4 linked regions of the Arabidopsis thaliana genome follow. The protein of the gene in region 1 interacts with the protein of each later gene in a pairwise test. Each region holds a gene or a part of one and is shown in the gene's direction. Other genes may lie near its edges.

Region 1 (3,095 bases):
TTAAACCTACAAAACAAAAGTAGCTCTGGAAATCTCAATAATGTAGTCTCTTAGAAGGATCCACAAAGGCCACAGAGAAGAAAACATAATGCTTAATAACAAAGATGAACAATGTGGATTTTGCCAGAATATTTATGGCTGTGAGCTTGTTTCTTCAAGAAGTCTCTACCTTTTAACTTCTCAAAAATCAAGTTTCTTAAACAAGTCTTCAATGCTGAGGATGTCACAGAAGAAGTCTTCAACAAACCTGTAGCCATGTTTTGATCACAGAAGAATCAGTACTTATATGTTTCTAATTGATACAAGATTCTTCTCCAGCAAAACCCTGATTTCTTCTTCCAAATCTCACTTGTTCTTCTTTCAGAATCTTCCATACGAATCTTTGATTCTGTTGTAATTCTCACAATCTCTCTATTTCTCACACTCCTTTACGGTTTCATTGTCTTTAGAGAGAAAGAACAAAAACTATTTTCTTTTAATCTTCTACTTTGATAATATTCTTGGATACTCTTACACAACACAAACAACACATACATATAGTGGTTTTGCTCCACTTGGTAGACTACACACACTTAGACTCTAGACCACATCATTGTCCTAAGACTTACATCATCCACTCTACTATGTTGGAACTCCAACACCTTAATTCACTCTCTTAGTTTACTTTAGTTGTCACAACCTCTTCTTGTTGGACCTTAACTAGACAACTTGTACAAAACACTTATTCGTATGGGCCTTATCTCATTACCTATGACCCAACACACAAAACACAAACCCATTTGGTTTGTTGACTTTCTTCTCTTCCTTTGACTCCTCTCTTCACGACGTCTCTTCTCCGCCATCGTCTTCTTCTTCCGTTGCTTCTTCCTTTGTTCTTCATCTTCTTCTTCTCACCAAGCTTGTTATTCTTGTAGGATTTAGTTTAGGATACTCAATTCCAACAGATTCTCGTAATCTCCATATCTAGATCCTCTTCCGAATCCGTAATCACCAATTCACCATTATCAACCAAAAGCTTGAGTTTTTGTTGTGTATCGGACATTGATTCACCAGCATAAAACAGAGATTCCATACTAGGGTTTGAGATTGTATTCTTCAATACTGTGTCGTCTTCTTCTTCCTCACAAAGTTTGCAATTTTGGTTTTTGGATTCGTAACGGTCACAAAGAGAAGAAGAGAGGCTCCTAAATATTTTGTTGTATTGACGCTTTTACCCTTCATAACGGTCTTATTTTATTGACCGTTGACCAAACCGGTTAAAGGAAGAATTTGCATGTTGGTTTACTCGTCCTCCTTCGCTTATTAGACAATCAGTAGTAAACAAATTCACCGACTAAACCAAAAATTCCACTAAATACAGATTCGGTTTAACTAAACCGGTCTTTGTTTGTATTAGATGGTTTTGAGTAATTTACTTTTAGAAAAGGAAACAGTTTTAATTTTTCGTTTAATTACCGATTAGGGTATTATCAGTAAAAAAGGAAATCAAAATCGATGTTGTTTCAGGTGGTTTTGTGTACTAATTACTTTCAAAAAAGGAAAACAAGTTTATTTAGTCGTTTAATTACTGATTAGCAATTATCAGAAAAAGGAAATAACATGGATTAATTAGAAAACGAGTTAGGGCTACTAAGTCTATATATATATCTATCTGATTAGAACGAGAGTGAGTCCATTATCATATTCTTCTTTCGCAACAAGCGGCAGCACACAAAACTCTCAAGTCTTGTCTCGTTCTCTTTTGTTTGTGAAACTGAGAAAAAAAACAGAATGGGTGGCGTGAAGAGGAAGATTGCTATAGAGAAGATACAGAACAAAAATCCACGAGCGGTTTCATTCTCCAAACGTCGTAAGGGTCTGTATAGCAAAGCTTCTGAACTTTGTCTTCTCTCGGACGCAGAGATTGCGATCATAGCGACTCCTGTTTCTTCTAATTCCAACGCCGCTTTCTACAGTTTTGGCCACTCCTCTGTTGATAATGTCGTCGCTGCTTTTCTCGCCAATCAGCGTCCTTGTGATGAAAGGTTTTGGTGGGAAGATGAGAGTCTTCTAAAATCAGAGAATCTGGAGGAGTTGAGAGAGGCGATGGATTCAATGTCGACTATGTTGCGAGATCTCAAGGAGTTGGAGAAGCAAAGAGATCATCAAACGCAAACCCTAATTCATCAGCCGTGTTCTGCAAGGGTTTGCATTCAAGATTATGTAACTGTGAATTTCGATGGGTTTAACACGGAAGAGCAAACCCTAGCGGTTTCTGACAATAGTAACAACAACGGTTTACTTGGAAACTTGGATGAGTGCAATGAAGATTTTGATGATCTCGATCAAATCTTCGATACGGTGACAAACTCTGAATTTTTATCGGTGAATTTGGAGATGGATGATGTAACTGTGAATTCTGAAGGGAACACGGAAGAGCAAACCCTAGCGGTTTCTGACAATAGCAACAACAACGGTTTACTTGGAAACTTGGATGAGTGCAATGAAGATTTTGATGATCTCGATCAAATCATTGAGTATTTGACAAGCTCTGAAGCTTTATCCATGAATTTAAAGATGGATGATGTCTGATGCATGCCTCTATGGTGACAATTTGTGTTTATGTTGAAATTGGATCCTTGATTTAAGTATTGCTTCGGTTTAGTATATCTTTGTATGTCTTTTATCAGCTTATGACTTTATTTGATCTGCGTGATATTTTCGTATATCTAACCAAAACATAAGAGCATCCCCAACCACAATACACCAAATTTTAACACCAAATTTGATATTTTGGTGTTTCAATTGTTTTATCATCTCCAACCATAACACCAATTTCACACTAAAAATATTACTTTTTATTATAATATTATTAAACTTAAGATTTTCTTTATTTTTTTAATAGTTTGATATACATAACATATTTCATAACTAAATTATTTTAACTTAATTAATATAAGATTACAATCGATAAATTGAAAATAACAAAAAAAAATTACATTGTACTAATTCTCAGAATTAGTATATACGGACCACAAGTGTTCAATTAATGCATTTCGAAGTTTAATATGAGCTTCACGGTCTTTGATTTTCCTGTGTCGAGCTAAAAATTCTTG
Region 2 (3,169 bases), on another chromosome or scaffold:
AACCCTTCTGTTGCTATCATAACTGTATGATTTGTAATTTTGTTGATGGTTTTAAGTTTATATGTTGATGAGCAGGAGATGTTCATGGTCAGTTTCCAGACCTCTTGCGGTTGTTTGAGTATGGTGGTTATCCACCAGCTGCGAACTACTTGTTTCTTGGGGATTATGTTGATCGTGGTAAGCAGAGCATAGAGACGATATGCCTTCTTCTTGCCTATAAGGTCAAATACAAGTTCAACTTCTTTCTTCTCAGAGGCAATCACGAATGTGCTTCAATCAACCGTGTATATGGATTCTACGATGAATGCAAAAGAAGATATAATGTTCGCTTATGGAAAACATTCACCGAGTGCTTCAACTGTCTGCCTGTTTCTGCTCTCATTGATGATAAGATCCTCTGCATGCATGGTGGACTATCGCCTGATATTAAGAGCTTAGATGACATCAGGAGAATTCCTCGTCCTATTGACGTTCCTGATCAGGGCATTCTTTGTGATTTGTTGTGGGCTGATCCTGACAGAGAGATTCAAGGCTGGGGGGAGAATGACAGAGGTGTCTCTTATACATTTGGGGCTGACAAAGTAGCTGAGTTCCTTCAAACTCATGACCTTGATCTTATATGCCGAGCTCATCAGGTAAAGCTAAAATTTATTCCTTGAGTTCTCTCTTTTGATTTCTCTGGATTGGTTTGTTCTTCTCTGTGACTGTTCTCTGAATTCAGAGGGTTAAGAAATCATAACTCAGTTGTTAATGCAAGGATCTGTAGTTTTTTCACCAAGCCAAGTTTTACTTAACTATACTGTTCCTGCAGGTTGTAGAAGATGGATACGAGTTCTTTGCAAAGAGACAACTAGTGACAATATTCTCTGCACCCAATTACTGTGGCGAGTTTGACAATGCTGGTGCATTGATGAGTGTTGATGATAGCTTAACATGTTCATTCCAAATCCTTAAGGCATCTGAGAAGAAAGGAAGATTTGGATTCAACAACAATGTTCCTAGACCAGGAACCCCACCTCATAAGGTGTGAAAATACTATCCCCCTGTATATAGATGCAATGTAGGTAGATGTTAGATATCAGGTTTGATATGTTAACATTCTTGCAGGGTGGAAAAGGTCGTTAACTCGTCGTCGATGGGTTCAAGAAACGAGTGAAACCGACGGGTTCGAATTTTGTAAGGCAAACAGTTTGTTTTGTTAGATTGTTATCTGTTTTCTTATGGTTGAGGCAACATTATGTTTTGTTTAGATTTTTTTTGTAAAAATTGTGGAAGATGTTCACAGCATTTTCAACTGAAGAAAGTTGGGTTTTATACAACTAACCTTTTAGAAACATATTCTAAAAACATAAACGTAAAATTTATAAAAATAATAAAATGAAACTTGAAAAACAATTATCTTATTTGACGTAATATATACTATAAGCTAAATAATAAGAGAAGAGGTAACCTAGATTTGAGGATAGATACTGCTTTTATCTTCTTCACGCGTCGCCGACGCGTATGCTTGTTCCCGTAGGCACCAAGGCAATCTATATAAACATATTGAGTGAAGTTTCACAATCTTTCACCATCAATTCCACAATTCTGCTTCTTCTTTGTGTGTTATCTCTCTGTCGGAGAAAAAAAAAACCCTAGTTTCTTGCTTGGCGAATCAAGGCAAAATCACGATGAAGCAAGCTTCTTCTTCTTCGTCATGTAATCCAACAAGTTTAACAAACAGACTTAAAACAATCTTTAAGAAAGCAGAAGAGCTTTCGATTCTCTGTGCTATTGACGTTTGCGTCATCTATTACGGACCAGACGGTGATCTGAGAACATGGCCTAAGGATAGAGAGACAGTGAAAAATATGGCTTTGAGGTATAAAGAGGACAGAAAACGCAAGAAGTGCCTCAATCTTCATGAGTTCCTCGAGAAAGAGAAGGTGAAGGACAAAGACAAGTATAAGGGGAAGACGAATTATGTGAAGAACCCTAATTGGTATCCAAACTTTGATCATTACTCTCCTCAACAACTCTCTCAATTGATTCAGTCCTTAGAACGAACACTTTCTACTCTCCAAAAAAGGCTTCGTATTGTTGAGTCGCAGAAAAAACAGAACACAAACTTGGTGCATCAGAGTTTAACACCATCGTATCTGAACCAGACACAACACTTGGATCCTAGCAAGTTCTCGCTGTATATGTACAACCATGGAGATGCTACTCTCTCACAACTCCCACTGTCTGCTTCACAATCCAATCAACTCATCAATTACCAGATGCAGCATGGTTTTGGTCAGAACATGTGTTTGGACAACATCACCAACAACAACAACTTTCAACATCCTGGCGTGTCAAACACACAAGACTACTCACCGTTACTTTCGGCGAATAACTACGGGTTGAATAATCACTTGATGCAGCAACAGGATCAGCTTCATGGTTTTGATCAGAACTTGTGTATGATGAGTGAAATCATCAATAACAACAACGGTTTACAACATCCTAATCTCTCAAACACTGTTCCACATGAATTCCCTTATGGTAACACTAGCTTCTCTCAAGATATGTTTTCGAGCTATGATGGGAGCAGTTTGCTACAGACATCTTCTCTGCCACCTCTCCACAACATTCCTAACAGCTATTGTTTTTCTGACAACTCAAGACTTCTCTGCTAACAAATCTGTCCAAAAGGATTTGTTTTTTGAAGCTTCATTAAGAGTCAGTCAATACTTATAAGTAGGAAGCTGATCAGAGAGAGATTGAAGCTGTTTTTGCTTCTGAATTCTTCCTGCTACTGTCTTTTTTTATTTTACAGTGTTGTTATAACTGTAAAACAGATCCATTTGTGGAGATTTTGTTTTTACTTTTAAGTTGGTATTTCAGTTAGTATTATATATATATATATATATATATATATGAACTTCCATAAAAGTCTTTCACAAAAACTTGCATGAAACAAATTATAATCTAAAATCACTTATGGTGACAAGACTGTTTCAATTGGTTGATACAACCTGCAAAGTGAAATCCTTTACTCTTGCATCTTATAACAAACTTGTAACTTAGTATCCTTCTTGTCTGAATCAGCTAATATATACATGAAGATGGAAAGTAGCTCTGATTTCGTGAAGACAAATTCTCTGCACCCAATTACTGTGGCGAGTTTGACAATGCTGGTGCATTG
Region 3 (3,040 bases), on another chromosome or scaffold:
AATTTATATTTTTTTTGACAATTAATTTAATATTTTTTTATTTAACAAAATTTGATGCTTATACATTCTCTTTTATCATACATTTTAATTCTACACATTCAAGCTTATTGATGATATTTGAATTCTAAATAATAACCTACAAATTTCTATCTTACACATTCAATTTTGCAATACAATTTAAGTATCTATTTCATCATAATATACTCGATTTTCATTCTAAACACTTCATCTTAAGTGAATTTTTTTTTATTAAAAAAATATATTTATATCAGATCTAATATATATCTTTGTTGATATTAAAAAAATAATAAACAGTAAACAAAACTTAACAAAAAAAAAATCCACAAAAATATTTGAAAAGCAAAACTTTTTAAAATGTTTCTTTATATATGGCGTAATTTTCTCTTATGTAAACTTATTTTAAATGAGTTAAAATTAATTAAAAAATATACTAACTTCTTTTTAAGTAATTGAAAAGTAAATCATATAAGTTGTTCTCTCCAAAAATCTTGTGTTTTAACTTATGACTACATGCGTTAAATTTTTTACAATAAAACATAGTTATAAGCTTTTAGTGACATATCAAAGGATCCAAGTTGCTCAATCACCGAATACGTTAAAATTCTTAGAATAAATCTTAAATATTTAAAAATTTATTATAATAAGGTCACTAAATTTTAAAAATATTTTTGTGTTCAAAATTTAACAAATGAAAACACTATATTACAATGATAAACACAATTTTATCCAATTAAATTAATTTTAAATAAATTATATTGTTATTTTAAACTTAAGTGGTCTTTTTAATTAGTTATTATTCATACTTAATGATTTTTCTTTTAAATTAATACATGATTATTTATTTAATTGACCAATAATATATGTGTTTTCAAATTTGTTAATTTTCTTTTTTGTTAAGAAAAATAAAGTTTAAATATTGTTAGATATATATAAATTAATATATGTAAATTTTTCTTTTTAAGGTTTTTTATTTTTTTAAGAGAATTAAAAAGTTAAATCTTTAATGACACATGTAAACATCTCAATGTTAGATTTGACACGTGCCACAATCTTATGAGGTAGTAATTTTGAAAACTGTACTTTATATAATAAGAAATTAATATATGTAAATTTTTCTTTTTAAGGTTTTCTATTTTTTTAAGAAAATTAAAAAGTTAAATCTTTAATGACACATATAAACTTCTCATTATTAGACTTGACACGTGCCACAATCTTATGAGTTAGTAACTTTAAAAACTATACTTTATATAATAAGATACTGGATGTGGGAAATCGTATCTAAGATCGTATCTACAACGGTTACATTGATATTGGTAAAGGAAAATCGTATCTAATTAAGATTTATCTCATAGACAGCAAACAAAAAGGGAATTTCATTACTTAAATATCACAACGGTTAGATTAATAGAAGTAAATCATCATCATTTAACGAAGAAAAGATACTCTAAAGAAAAAGGAAATAAAACCCACAGCTCAATTTGTCTCTCTTGGTTTAGTAAAATCAATATCAAATATTATATGGAAATACAAGAATTTCACAATTCTATATAACCCTGAACCGTGTGTTAGTTACACTAAGTTTATTTTCTAGGTTTCTCTCTGATAAGAAACTAGGTATCTTCTTCTTCTTTTTCTGTGGGTAAACAACAACAATGGATTCTTCAATGTCGACGAAGAAGAAAACCAAATTGTCTGTGAGAAACCAAACTTGTTTCAAGAAATCGTCCCTGTCTTCTTCTTCTACTGCAAAAAAGACCACGAATTTGTCTATGAGAGAACAGACCATGTTCAAGAAAGCCTTGGAGCTTTCAACTCTGTGCAACATCGATGTCTGTGTCATATACTATGGTCGTGACGGAAAACTCATCAAGACATGGCCGGAGGATCAATCAAAAGTTCGAGACATGGCTGAGAGGTTTAGCAGATTACACGAGAGAGAGCGATGCAAGAAAAGAACCAACCTTTCTCTGTTTCTACGTAAGAAGATCCTCGACGACACTAAATTGTCGGAGAAAGTCTTAGAGATGGAGGATTCGTTAGAAAGTGGTCTACGAGTACTACAAGATAAGCTTCTGTTACTCCAACCCGAGAAAAACCAGACCGAGTTTGGTCAGACCCGTGCGGTTTCTTCCACAACGAATCCATTGTCTCCTCCTCCTTCGCTAATTGAGGATCATCGTCATCAACAATGGACAGAACCATTGATGAGTGGTGTGTCAAACACAGAGCAAGACCTATCGACGTCATCATTGAGTCAAAATCAGAGCAGAATTTCAGTCTTTCTCTATAACCATGACAACCGTAGCTTCTATCAAGTCCCTGACTCAGTTTCTAGCTTTGACCAATCGGCTTTACTTGGGGAACAAGGATCTGGTCTAGGAAGTAACTTTGATCTTCCTCCCATGGTTTTTCCTCCTCAGATGCAGACACAAACCCCACTTGTCCCCTTTGATCAGTTTGCGGCATGGAATCAAGCACCGTCGTTTGCAGATCCAATGATGTTCCCTTATAATTAGTTCTTGTTGTTCCAAAAACTGATCTTTGACTTGGTGTACGTTTTATAATGATCTATTATATATGTATTCTTCATTTAGATTATGAGTTTAACTGTCTCTTCTTGTGCCTGATTACGAGTTTGTATTGAATTGTATGTTTTCCCAAGTATGAATGCTATTTTCTCAAGTTTCTAAAAACAGTCTTGGCTTCTTCTATAATTGTCTGAGTCTTATATTTGAGTTTGAAAACCTGCTATGTTCAGATTTTTAATATACAATAGATATTGAAGGTTAGATGTCGATAATTTATGCAGAGAAGCCAACTTTGATGAGTCAGATGCTTTGGTGACAGCTTCCAACAAAAAATGTTGTTAAAAGTAGTGTTTTGTCCAAGAGGTGGAAAAACTCTGGCTTTGTTGGATATTTGATGCCAATGAATTTGCAGATTACAATGCCTAAGTGAGTTTTGTCTACGTATATACGCCAATAATGAAGCTATACAGTTGCTTATCTCGTTTTACCCG
Region 4 (3,499 bases), on another chromosome or scaffold:
TAGTGCTGATAGATACTAAACGCCCTCCTGTCTACATTGACAGTCAAGTGGGGTTGGATACGTTCTTTTTAATTCGTGGTCGGTATCCTTCTCTCAATTTGTTTGTCTCTTTCATTACAACCGTCAAGACACCCGATAATAATGTCTCTAGGACTCATGGTGATGATGCTGAAAGTGACCGTGTATGTGATAGTGTTTCAAATGTTGATGAAAATAATGAGGCCGTAGATGAGAAAGACGACGATGAAGACGATAAAACAAATGAGGATGAAGAGGAGGGGGACAACAAAGATGGTGGTGGGTATGATGATTATCAGGGTGACGATGGATCTATAGGGGGAAGTACCCTCGATCCTACTATTGATGGTAGTGAAAGTAGTGGCGAAGATTATGATTACAACAAGTGGAACGATGTAATTGTAGAAGAATATGGAATAGGGAATGTTGACGAGAACGTCATTCTCACACCAGGGGAATTCAGTCGTCTGTTGGCAGAGTGTACGTACACAAGTCAGCGTGTACCTGGCGGAGATAACATTTCTCACTCGGGTGACCGTACACCAGTTGTGACTCGAAGAAGTATGTGTCAACATGGTTTGTACCAATGTACCTACACTATAGATTGGGAAGTGTTTTTAAGAACAGAAAAATCATACAACAAACAATGTCTTATCTCAGCCACTGCCAATATTGGTTTAATATTGTATTAATAAATTTTTCTTAATAATTTCATTCACAAACAAAGATGTACGTATATTATTACACATGTACATACATTAATTTACCAACAAAAATGTACGTACATTATTTCACCATCTATTTTTATTTAATTATTATGTATGTATTGAGATTATTGAGATATAAGAATACGTAATAAAATAGTTTGAATTATTAGAAATCGTCTCATATATGTTCCATAAATAATTTCGTGTACGTACACAGAAAAAATTCGATGAAGGGTATAATTGTAATTTTCCAGTCATCTTCAACCTGTGTATCCTTTTCTGCAAACCTAATTTTGCGGCCGTCTTTATCAGTTTTCTCAAAATCTCATTTTTTTACGTTTTGATTACTATTTATAAATAAATCTTGTAAACTTAGAGTATCTTTAGTTTAAAAAGCTAAAGTGTTTGTATCTAGGAGCTTTTTTTTTGCATTTTGTTCATCTCTGAAAACAAGAAATTTGTTCCTCAATTTTGGAGTTCAATGGAGAGATGTCGAAATATGAAGGAGTGGATAATGAATTTTGAACTTCTTTCTACTTCTCTCTCGAATTACTCCGTCTCTTTCTCTTTTTCTTCTTCTTTGTTTCTTTGTTTCAGTGTTTTTTTTTTGTTTTTTTCAAAACTGAACCATTAAGGATAAACCAAAATCACAAAACCATTAAGGGTAAACCATTAAGTTTCAAAACAAAACCAGAAAAACTAAACCGAAATCAAGTGCTGTGTGATTTGGTTGCTCCCATTAAGGGTATTTTAGTCTGAAAACAACTGAAAAGACAAACGGTAAAAACCATATCTCACTTTGACAAACCATGAGAGCAATTCTTTTTTCATCCAGTGAAAATTTCTTTTTATTAAATCTATAAAATACGGAAATCAAATCTATACTCGTATTTCCTTTTCTTACCGATGAGCGTGAGTGGTTATGAAAACCAAATCTTTACTTCTACATCTATAAATATATGATTTTACTCTCCAAACCTAATACATTAGTTTCACTCTCTCAATTTTATTCTTCTTCGCCTTCGTGCTTTCTCTTAACTTTGAACGTGAAAAAAACAGAGAGTTTGTCTTCGAAACCAACAAGAAGATGACTATGCGATCATTACCTTTTTCCTCTTCTTCTTATTCACTCGCTTCCACAAGTTTGAGTAACAGACTTGAGACTATATTCAAGAAAGCTTCAGAGCTTTGCACTCTCTGTGATATCGAAGCGTGCGTCATCTATTACGGACCAGACGGAGAACTTAAGACATGGCCTAAGGAGAAAGAGAAAGTGAGAGACATTGCTCTGAGGTATAGTCAATTAAACGAAGCCTTGAGAAGCAAGAAAAGCGTTAATCTTCATGGGTTCCTGAACAAGAAGAAGAAGAAGAAGAAGAAGGGTTTGAAGAATCCGAACAATAAGAGGAAGACTTGTCTTAAGAAGAACGTGAATGTTTTAAAGTATCCACTCGCTGATCATTACCCTCCCGACCAAGTTTCTCAACTGACTCAGTCCTTAAAACTCCATGTCTCTAAATTCCAAGAAAGGCTTCGATTTCTTGAGTCGCAGAAACAGACAAAACCGGATCATCAGAGTTTAACACCATCCTCTTTGAATCATCAGACCCAATCTTTGAACCCTAGACAGTTTTCGCTGTTTATGTATAACCATGGAGACAATACTCTGTCTCAGATCTCAGTCTCTGCATCAAATTTCAATCAGAATTATTTCTCAGCGTTACTTGAACAATCTGAGTTGAAGAATCAGTTAATGAAGCAGGATGGTTATGATCAGAATCAGAACATGAGGATGGGTGACATCACCAACAACAATTTTCAACTTCCTTACTTCTCAAAGAAAGAAGCGGTACAAGAATCTGTGAACTACTTTGGGATGAATCAGTTGATGCTGAAGGAGTTATATGGTTGTGATCAAAACATGTGTATGGGTAACATCAATAGCAACAGCTTTCAACATCCTTGCGTCTCAAAGGCACAACATTACTCGGCGGTAGAAGGATCTGTCAATAACCAACGACAATCTGAGTTAATGCAGCAGGAGCTTTGTGGTTATGAGCAGAACATGTGCTTTACCAACAACAATTTTCAAGTCTCAAACAAAGAAGCGGTTCAAGAATCTGTGACTAATTTTGGGTTGATGCAGCATGAACTTTATGGGTGTGATCAAAACATGTCTATGGGCAACATCATTAACAACAGCTTTCAACAGCGTCTCAAACACAGAACAAGAATCTGTGAATAACCCCTGGTTGAATCAGTTGATGCAGCATGAACTCTATGGCTATGATCAATGGTGAAGTAGCGGAACAGAGATAGTGAAGCTGTTTTCTTGAGTCTTGATTCACTTGTTAATTTTTATTTTTGAGTACGCTTGTTAATCTGTAGAGATTTCGTTCTGAGTTTTAAAGTTACAACTTGTATTTTCGGTTTAGTTATTACATATATATGATATAAAAACTCGAGCAATCTTTAACTAACATGTTAAATTGAGGCACATCGACGAAACTCAAAACAACAAGCAATACAGTAGCAAGTAGCAGAAACAAGCAAAGCAATCAAACAATTGTGGTGATGAAACATGTAGTAAAGTAAGAGAAGCTTGCCTATTAGTAACATCCAATTAGAATTGTATCACAAAGTAGGGCAAGTAAATCATTTTTGACTAGTGTGTAACTTGTATACTATCTCCATCACTAATGTTCACTCTCATCTCTGAAAATTATGATGGTGTAATAAGAGAACAATAATAAATTCTTCAAACAAAAAATATC

What was found.
Region 2: the proteins of AGL97 (region 1) and AGL52 interact in a two-hybrid assay, tested with the Arabidopsis thaliana proteins (one large-scale study listed by BioGRID).
Region 3: the proteins of AGL97 (region 1) and AGL53 interact in a two-hybrid assay, tested with the Arabidopsis thaliana proteins (one large-scale study listed by BioGRID).
Region 4: the proteins of AGL97 (region 1) and AGL76 interact in a two-hybrid assay, tested with the Arabidopsis thaliana proteins (one large-scale study listed by BioGRID).

What each region holds. Positions count from the first base shown.
Region 1 is NC_003070.9:17,231,611-17,234,705, reverse strand, and holds AGL97 (AGAMOUS-like 97), read left to right. Parts: upstream 1-1,754; 5' UTR 1,755-1,770; coding exon 1,771-2,571; downstream 2,572-3,095. UniProt on the Arabidopsis thaliana protein: Putative transcription factor.
Region 2 is NC_003075.7:6,847,908-6,851,076, forward strand, and holds AGL52 (AGAMOUS-like 52), read left to right. Parts: upstream 1-1,670; coding exon 1,671-2,660; downstream 2,661-3,169. Other genes in the region: TOPP7 (Calcineurin-like metallo-phosphoesterase superfamily protein), read left to right, coding at 76-635, 812-1,024, 1,108-1,125.
Region 3 is NC_003076.8:9,526,068-9,529,107, forward strand, and holds AGL53 (AGAMOUS-like 53), read left to right. Parts: upstream 1-1,673; coding exon 1,674-2,537; downstream 2,538-3,040. UniProt on the Arabidopsis thaliana protein: Probable transcription factor that may function in the maintenance of the proper function of the central cell in pollen tube attraction.
Region 4 is NC_003076.8:16,050,067-16,053,565, forward strand, and holds AGL76 (AGAMOUS-like 76), read left to right. Parts: upstream 1-1,812; coding exon 1,813-2,970; downstream 2,971-3,499.